2 linked regions of the Daphnia pulex genome follow. Each later gene encodes a partner of the first gene's protein in a complex. Links are inferred from orthologs where the notes say so. Each region holds a gene or a part of one and is shown on either strand. Other genes may lie near its edges.

Evidence for each region.
Region 2: the proteins of cilia- and flagella-associated protein 36-like (region 1) and ADP-ribosylation factor-like protein 3 are in contact, whole or in part, in a crystal structure (PDB 4ZI3), measured with the Mus musculus proteins. The link is inferred for Daphnia pulex from reciprocal best matches to the Homo sapiens genes CFAP36 and ARL3. Residues at the interface, in NP_080016.1 of Mus musculus: Glu44, Glu45, Ser46, Lys47, Leu48, Thr51, Glu52, Lys58, Val61, Glu62, Leu65, Glu76, Phe79, Gln80, Cys83, Thr84, Ala88, Lys89, Leu97, Val100, Leu101, Ala103, Glu104, Asp105, Phe106, Thr107, Ile108; in NP_062692.1 of Mus musculus: Leu3, Leu4, Ile6, Leu7, Arg8, Lys9, Leu10, Lys11, Ser12, Arg19, Lys35, Glu40, Pro47, Thr48, Gln49, Gly50, Phe51, Asn52, Ile53, Lys54, Trp66, Ile74, Tyr77, Ser80, Tyr81.

The regions. Positions count from the first base shown.
Region 1 is NC_060027.1:5,081,127-5,085,260, reverse strand, and holds cilia- and flagella-associated protein 36-like, read left to right. Parts: upstream 1-1,307; 5' UTR 1,308-1,343; coding exon 1,344-1,584; intron 1,585-1,847; coding exon 1,848-1,915; intron 1,916-2,022; coding exon 2,023-2,130; intron 2,131-2,225; coding exon 2,226-2,481; intron 2,482-2,551; coding exon 2,552-2,686; intron 2,687-2,754; coding exon 2,755-3,059; 3' UTR 3,060-3,316; downstream 3,317-4,134. Other genes in the region: DNA helicase MCM8-like, read right to left, coding at 62-202, 255-399; feline leukemia virus subgroup C receptor-related protein 2-like, read right to left, coding at 3,364-3,682, 3,775-3,885, 3,989-4,092. UniProt on the Homo sapiens protein: May act as an effector for ARL3.
Region 2 is NC_060026.1:9,413,186-9,417,028, forward strand, and holds ADP-ribosylation factor-like protein 3, read left to right. Parts: upstream 1-1,649; 5' UTR 1,650-1,726; coding exon 1,727-1,729; intron 1,730-1,947; coding exon 1,948-2,208; intron 2,209-2,330; coding exon 2,331-2,421; intron 2,422-2,592; coding exon 2,593-2,705; intron 2,706-2,795; coding exon 2,796-2,828; intron 2,829-3,084; coding exon 3,085-3,126; 3' UTR 3,127-3,334; downstream 3,335-3,843. Other genes in the region: epsilon-sarcoglycan-like, read right to left, coding at 1-118, 176-377, 447-525, 677-810, 909-1,050; ADP-ribose pyrophosphatase, mitochondrial-like, read left to right, coding at 3,665-3,733, 3,798-3,843. UniProt on the Homo sapiens protein: Small GTP-binding protein which cycles between an inactive GDP-bound and an active GTP-bound form, and the rate of cycling is regulated by guanine nucleotide exchange factors (GEF) and GTPase-activating proteins (GAP).

The sequences.
Region 1 (4,134 bases):
AATTATGGAAATTTATAAGTTTTATTAGATAAATCTTTCAATTCTCTAAGTGTGTTGATACCTTCTGATGGGAAGTAATGTTTCCACCCTTTATATGGACAAGATACTGGTGGGAAATGCTGATTTATACGATTCCTCTGCCTTGCTGGTGTCTCGCTGTCAGAAGACTGAATATTTTGGTTTGAAGGAGGATCTCTAATATCTTTATAAACATTTTTAGAATAAATCAGAAACAAATTAAAGTTTCTCATTACCGTTATTGTTGTCATTGTTTCTTGTTGATCCTCGGCCTCTTTGATATCCACGTCCTCTCCATCTATTAGACCTCCAGTTGTTATTGCCTCTACCACGAAACCCACCTCTTTCTTTACCTCTAGAATTATTTCCTGAATCTGCCATAGCTAAACAAACTTAACTTTTTGGGGTGAACATGGAATTAACTAGAACAAAAAAGACTGCAATAGCTATGATGTGGTTCAAAGTTTTGATTTTTCCAAGGATAAAAAACCGCCGCTAACATTGCAGACGACAGAAAGTGAAGCCCATTCTGAAGGATGGGTAAGATTCGATTCGACCTAGAAAACCCTAGTTGTGAATTGTTCATAATTGTAGTAAATTCAAGTAGTTTATAACCTCCACATAATTGCAAAAACAAATATTTTACATGAACTTTGTATTTTGTAATTGGAAGAATCACTAGCCATAATCCTCTCAGAAAATAAACACATTAATTATGTTTTTATCTAGTTTAAATTTGATTTTTTTTTAATAATAAAAAAAAAAATAAAACACTTACTCTCAATGAAAAATATATATTCAAGCAACAACAAAGAATTCTTCGTCTTATTTTATAGCAATATCAACATATTACGGAAAATTAATGCATCGGGACTCTCCGTATTCTCGTAACTTATTTAATCCAGGGAACTTTAAGAAAAATATCACCGTATTCAATATTCATTCTATGAAAATCCATCACGAATATCATGGTTAATCCATCAATTTAAAAATAAATTAGGGGGAGGAATATGTTAAAAGATGGGGCGAGGATCGCAAAAGACTAGCCTATATTATTTTTGAGTGGATATAATTTTATATTTTTCCCGATTTTTAATTGAAAATCCAAAATCGTATGCGGTTTGAAAATTCGAAAGGATTGATAAAATAGGATGTCATTCTTATTAATTAACTAAAAAATTCGTGATAAAAAAAAATCAAGACAATTAAATTTTGTGGGCGACAGAATTCTACAGCGAAATCGGTCAAGATTCGAGCACAGGACGGTCTATCTGAGGGTTTGTGCGGGTTTGTGTTTGTTATCGTTTCGTTGCTATGACCACGCCATGGATCGCGCGCTTGGACAGGAGTTAAACAGTCCGGTTTTCCGGAGGAGAGTTTCAATTGTAGATGCGATCTGTCAATTCCAGAACCGTCCCAAACTACCACCTTCAGCCATGGAGCAAGCGAAAAGTGAGACAGACAACGAAAACAACGCCGATTGGATTCTGGATTCATTGGTGGCCTACCTTCGTGGTCCCATTTGGAATACGCCAATTCTTAACTTCATAGAGCAGAAGTCCGTAGGTATGATAACATAACTAATATTATTATAGCGACATATTATAGGTTCATGTTCCTGTATGTATAGCTTCATAGCTTCAATGCTTTATAGGTATTTTTAATAGTCTGTTTCTGCGTCTGCTTGTTATTCTGCGTTCGACAACTTATTTAACAAGCAAAACTAGAATATACCATTTTTGAGTCACGAAAATTTTAATAATTTCTTATTCATAATTCATAAAGGTTTTACCCGAAATTTAAAATTTAAACATTGTGAAATTTGAAAGTATTTGAAGGTGATGGCGAACAGTACGAGACTGAGTACCTGGGAATCCATAAGGATTTCCGTAATCTGGTGAGATGTTGTACAAAGTCAAGTCACACCTTGTGACGCTTCTTCTATTGAGCGAGCCAGCAGCAAATTACATAACAGATTTGTACATAATTTCTGATTCATGCAAGGTGGATGTCATGCTCGGGGCTTACATGGATGATTTAAGCCTTCAGCCGGAACATTTAGAATCAGCCTTGAGTCAAATTCAGCCATCCGTTCGATCGGCGGCTTTACAGGTAATTTAACTATGGCTCATTTATTCTTCACACATTATATATTTCATTCATTTCACGCCACATTGATTTTAAACGTTGCATATGATCTGTTATAGCAATTACTAGAACCCGTGCAATCGGCTGGAGATTACGATCGCTTCAAAGTTCTGATGCGCTCTAAAAATGAGCAACTGCACAACGAAGCAGTGGAAATGCTTCGTCAGAAACGCAATCATCCCGACGACGGCCCGGCCATTGAAAATCGATCGTCTGTCGATGAGTTTTCCGAGGAAGACATCAACGAAGCCATTCGACAATCGTTGGCGGAACATGTGGCCGAACGAAATGCCCAAGTCCAAGAAAAGCGCGAAGGTAAAATGGTTTGGATCAAAGGACTTACAATACAATGGGAAACACATTCTAATTTTAAGTGAACGTCAAGTTGACCGAGCTCTGGCTGCTTCCGTTGCTGGACTTCTCAAGACAAATTTGAGTGTTGAAGATGAACAGAGCGTGACTACATTGCCGGATACCAATGAACCTCCGCCAACCAATCAAGTTGAATCTCCAGCCAAAGGTTTACTTATTCTAAAAGAATTACTTGTATTTAAAAAAAAATTAAATCGTTGGTCAATTTTTATTTAGTTGCAATGAGGATTCCTGATCCGGCAGAGGTGGAGCAACGTCGCGTGCAGTTGCGGGCTCAGCGTGACAAGATTCTCAGCCAGAAGCGGAAAGAACGAGAACTCCAGTTGGAGCAGCAAGAGCGGACGGACAGGGTGGCAGGAGAAAGTAGTAAACCGGGAATGTCTAGACCGAGATCTGGACGTGCCGCTCGAGCGGCCTTGGCCGGCGAGGCGTCTCCCGAGGTGGACGAGCGTACCATTCAATATCGACGGTTGCTCTTGCAGAAAATCAAAGAGGAGGTGGAAGGCGTTCCACCGAAATAAAATCTTGTTTTATATCTTCAAGATAAAACTTTTTCTTTAAATTTTATTTAAAATATTTATTGTAAAACATGTCTGCGTTATTATTTTAGCACGTCACATTTTCAAACATTTAAATTCAGAACTATGAAATACGGGATTTATTTAAACACCTTGCACATGTAGTAAGTCGAATTTTAATTACTAGATTAACACAGCGCGTGTATTGCATATACGGAAGAGCGATATCTGACCTGAATAAACGGCTTTTACTTTCTTTATTTTTACCGTAACAATTATAAAGCTATATACTACTGCATTTCAATTTTCAAGCAGAAACTGGCAAAGGATTGACTTTTTCGCCACCCAGGATAGCGAAAATGGATTCTTGATTGGCCTTTTGTCTGCGAAGCTCCGGGCGTATGGGGAAAGTCATGGCGAAACCAACCAGCAGCGCCATTGATAATAAACAGTTGCACACCATGGAGCCATAGGTTCCCAACAGCCAACCTCCCAGAAGTGTGAAGGTGATGCCAAAAACCTGGGCGGAGGCGTTCAACAACCCCGCCGAAGTGACTTCGGGTTCCGGATAAGTTAATTCGGCGCCAAATTCAAATCCCACGGGCAGATATCCCGTCATGAAAAAACTATACAGACAATTCAAACAATATTAAAAATTGCATGCTCTTTTAAACCATTATTCATTGATAAAAAGATATTGTATGAGAGCTAAACCTACCCAGCGATTCCTGCCGCAACAAAAGTGATGGGAATATATTCAAGTCGGAAAGTGAAAGTGTAAGTTACCATTCCAACTAGGGCAAAGAAGTATGTCACCAAAGTCGTTTCCCTAGAAAAAATTGTTGTAATTATCTAGCTTAAAATTACAGTATTTGCAGACGTCAATTAATCTCAGAATCTGTATATATAGTGGCACAAGCAACTAAACTTACTTGAATTTATGGGTTTTGTCAAGGATAGCTCCGAAAAGAATGGACCCAAACATACCGCACACGACAATAGTCAACCCTATTCGGCCACAATTTTTCTCCTCGCCCTGAAATATTTCCAGCAGAACAAAATGAACAATTAACAATAG
Region 2 (3,843 bases), on another chromosome or scaffold:
TGAAGTCTTTTTAAAGTCACGAGGACATTGGCGAAGTGGCCATAAAGGACTGACTTCACGTTCTAATTCACGGAGTACTTCGGAAAATTCGGCGTTACTTCCCAAGGTCAAAAACACTCTGTAACATAAACACTTTTGAAGAAAATTGTTACATTTGTTGATTGCTATTAAATACCCTTCTCCATCTTGCTGGCGCGCAGGTCGTCTCCCGCCAACAGCTAAAGCTGAGTAAAGTTCCACAAAATGAAGATCTAACGAACTTGCTGGCCATAGTATTTTCCGAAAAATATCCAATAGTTTCATTTGCTTTTGCTCATCCATCAGATCATCAAGGTTTAGATTGTGAATTTTTAGTTTTATCTGACAAGTGGCAGGTTCTGTAACACATGATTTTTGAACGGTGAATTTGTTTCCTCAAAAGGATTCTATATGAGAACACCACAAACCTTCTTTAGGAAATATTTCAATAACAATTTCTTTTGCCGATGTTTCAAAAGTTAACAGATTGAATGCAACAACATCTAACTGTGAATGAAATTTGAAAAATTTTAAGTATTTGGTAAGTGAAAGCATTAAAAAACACAATGTGTATCATCAATTCAAATGAGTCATAAATATGTAAAGTTAAGTCTTAAGTGTATCCGTTATAGTGTATGGTAAAAATTAAAATAATTACCTTTAGAGATGCTAAATTATTTGGTGGTGTCCCATATAGAAAACCAAGTTTTAAATTTTGATTAAATACAAGGTTTATCCATTTTGGTAGGTCAGGCAAACCGTGCAGAGAAGCTGAATAGGAGAAGTATTCATCTGTAAAAAATGAAAAAAAGTTATGAAATTGTTCAAAAGGAAATATCTTATTTTCTAGTGTATTATATTTAACTTCAATTCTACAGAACATTTGCTACCTGAAGACTCCACGTCTGATAAATTGAATAACGAAGGTGACAACTGAATCACAAATACCTCGTCCGTTTGAACTTGGTATTGAGCATAGCAATATTTCGAAAAGAAAACTAAAAAAAGGGAGGTGGAGAGTGCAATATGCATTTTCCTACACTGCAAAAACAATGGATAAAAATATTCTTTGATTTTTGTCAACTAAGAAAATTCACTTCTCATTTACAGTGTTTTGTTGTTGTTGTTTTACACTAAAAAGCCAATGCTAAATATGGCGGTGCTGATCTAAACACTTAATCAGGCTTGACAGGCGATTTTTCCGAACAGGAACAAATAAGAAATAGGCCGTTCCCGCGGCCGTTCGTGAGTCGTGACTCCGATCATCCATAGACCCAAGTCGACGGATAAATTTTCCTGTCATGATTTTAATAATATTTAGAATCTATAACATAGTAAAGTTAACGATTTTACTGAAATTTATAGTTTTATACGTGTAATATTGCGTTTTAGAATATGTGTGAGGATTGAAGCAGAGCTCTGATTGAAGAAAGAAATTATTTAAGAAAACTAATTTCTTTATAAATTTTATTTCATAGCTATACAGAATGATATAATTTATCCAATCAATTTGGAAAATATCCAATTTTCAAATACGACGTTAACGTGTAATATAGGGTAGCACGACACAATTGTCTCATTTTTTGAATAGTAATAAAAAAGGAGACCATTTCCATGGTTACCAGGTCATAGGATTCATAACATTCATTTATGTGAGAAGTACAAATGTCGGCTTAAAAAACTGTTGTAGAACTATTTGGCTTTTTCAATGGTAAGTATTTTTCCCTCTGGATAAACATTCAACTTCTTATTTAGAACTGTCATAAATTTGAGTTGCTGACTTGCTGTTGATTGCCTTAAAAGCTTTTGCAAGAAGTCAGTGATAGAAAAACAAAATGAATTGTTATGGAAGCCTGACCTGCCTTGAAACTTGCTCTTCACATAACACAGGAATTTTTCTTCTTATACTGTAATTATTGTCATCCAAAGGGTTTGTTGGCTTTGCTGCGAAAGTTGCGCGCTTCTTCCGAACAAGAACTACGAATATTGCTGCTAGGACTTGATAATGCTGGTAAAACAACCCTTTTGAAGCATCTGGCCAACGAGGACGTAACCCACATTACGCCTACTCAAGGATTTAACATAAAATCCGTCCAATCATCGGGGTTTAAGCTCAACGTTTGGGATATTGGTGGACAAAGAAAAATTCGGCCATATTGGCGAAATTACTTTGAAAATACTGACGTGCTGGTAGGCCTATTGCATTTATGTCGTTCGACAAATCATTTTAAATTCGAAAATTAAAAAGATGTTTAACTAGGCCTATTATAAAGTTTGAGCTATGTTATTCAATTTATGTTGTCTTTACACAGATCTATGTGATAGACAGTTCCGATAGAAAGCGCTTCGATGAAACTGCCGAGGAATTGTCTGAACTTCTTAATGAAGAAAAACTAGAAGGAGGTAAACATTAAAATTCGTAGTAACGCTAGATTCATTAGTTAGTTGATTAATCTAGTTGTAGGCCTACAATATCAAACTTTTAGCTTAGAATGTATAAATTTAATATGTGTTTATGTTTCAGCTGTTTCAGCTTTTTTTTTTTAATCACGATGTAATCTCAATTGTTTTTAGTCCCCTTGTTAGTGTTCGCTAACAAACAAGATTTATTGGGTGCCGCGACGCCTTCGGAATTAGCTTTGGGCTTGGCTCTCCAGACAATTAAGGACAGAGGATGGCAGATCCAGGTAATATAACAAATCAGAAAGGCTTAAAGGTCATTCTTGTAATGAAAATCAGCAGAAATTTAATTTATTTTTCGTTGTACTTACATACAGGCCTGCTGCGCTTGTTCTGGTGAAGGCGTTCAGGTAGGTAGGAATTTGCTAAAGACACATACATATTTCCAAATCGTTAACTTTTTCACTCACGCACTATCCGTACGCGGAATGCACTATCTAGTTATGCGTTCGGTTTGTTATTTAGTAGATTAGATAAAAGTAGCAACATCATATTTGATCTTTTTTTTCCTTCGTAATTCGTAATAGTTTGAAAATAAAATAAAAATAGCACGCGTCCTCGTGATAGTTTTCTTTATCTTATTTATCCAAAATTCTTTTAATACAGGATGGAATGAACTGGATATGCCAAACGATTAAGAAAAAATGATTGCATTGTCTTTTCGTTAGAGATTGATGAATTTTCCAATCAGTTATGTTAATGAATGTTATTATTTGCCCTTCAATGTTCACCTTCCAACGATAATCGAAATTTGAACCCCGCCCGTCTCAATGTTTACTTTCGTAAAAATTGTTCTGCCACTGTCTGTCCGCAGTCCGCTTTATGAGCGAATCTTTTTAAAAATAAACTTTGAAAGAAAGACCTATTTCATTTACTCATATAAAAATCTGGAATTTTTTTATGCCTGCTTTTTTTCATTGCAAAAATAAAAAATTCTGGATTTGCATGATTCTTTGTTCTAAATTCAAGCAAGTTTGCAACATAGGAATAATCGCTCAATATGATGGTAAACAGAAAAAAGTGTTGTCTTGACGACGTTTAAATAACAAGAAATAACGTTCGCAGGAAATCATCTCGACGTTTATACTCGGGTAAAAAATAATTTGCAGTGGTTTGCACTTCGCTTTGGCCTAACTATTTTTCTATAATGGTACTGTTGTCAAGATTTGTTTCTATTGCATCAAAAATGACGACTTGGAGCAATAAAATACACTCTAAATGTAGAGGTGAAATATACCCTCGTTCAGATCAAAAGGTGAAACAAATTATTTTTTAAAAAATTATTGTCTGAAGTTATTCTTCTATATTCTTCCAATTAGCGACTCATCGTTCCTATTGATAAAGTCAAATGGTCTGTTTCATGGC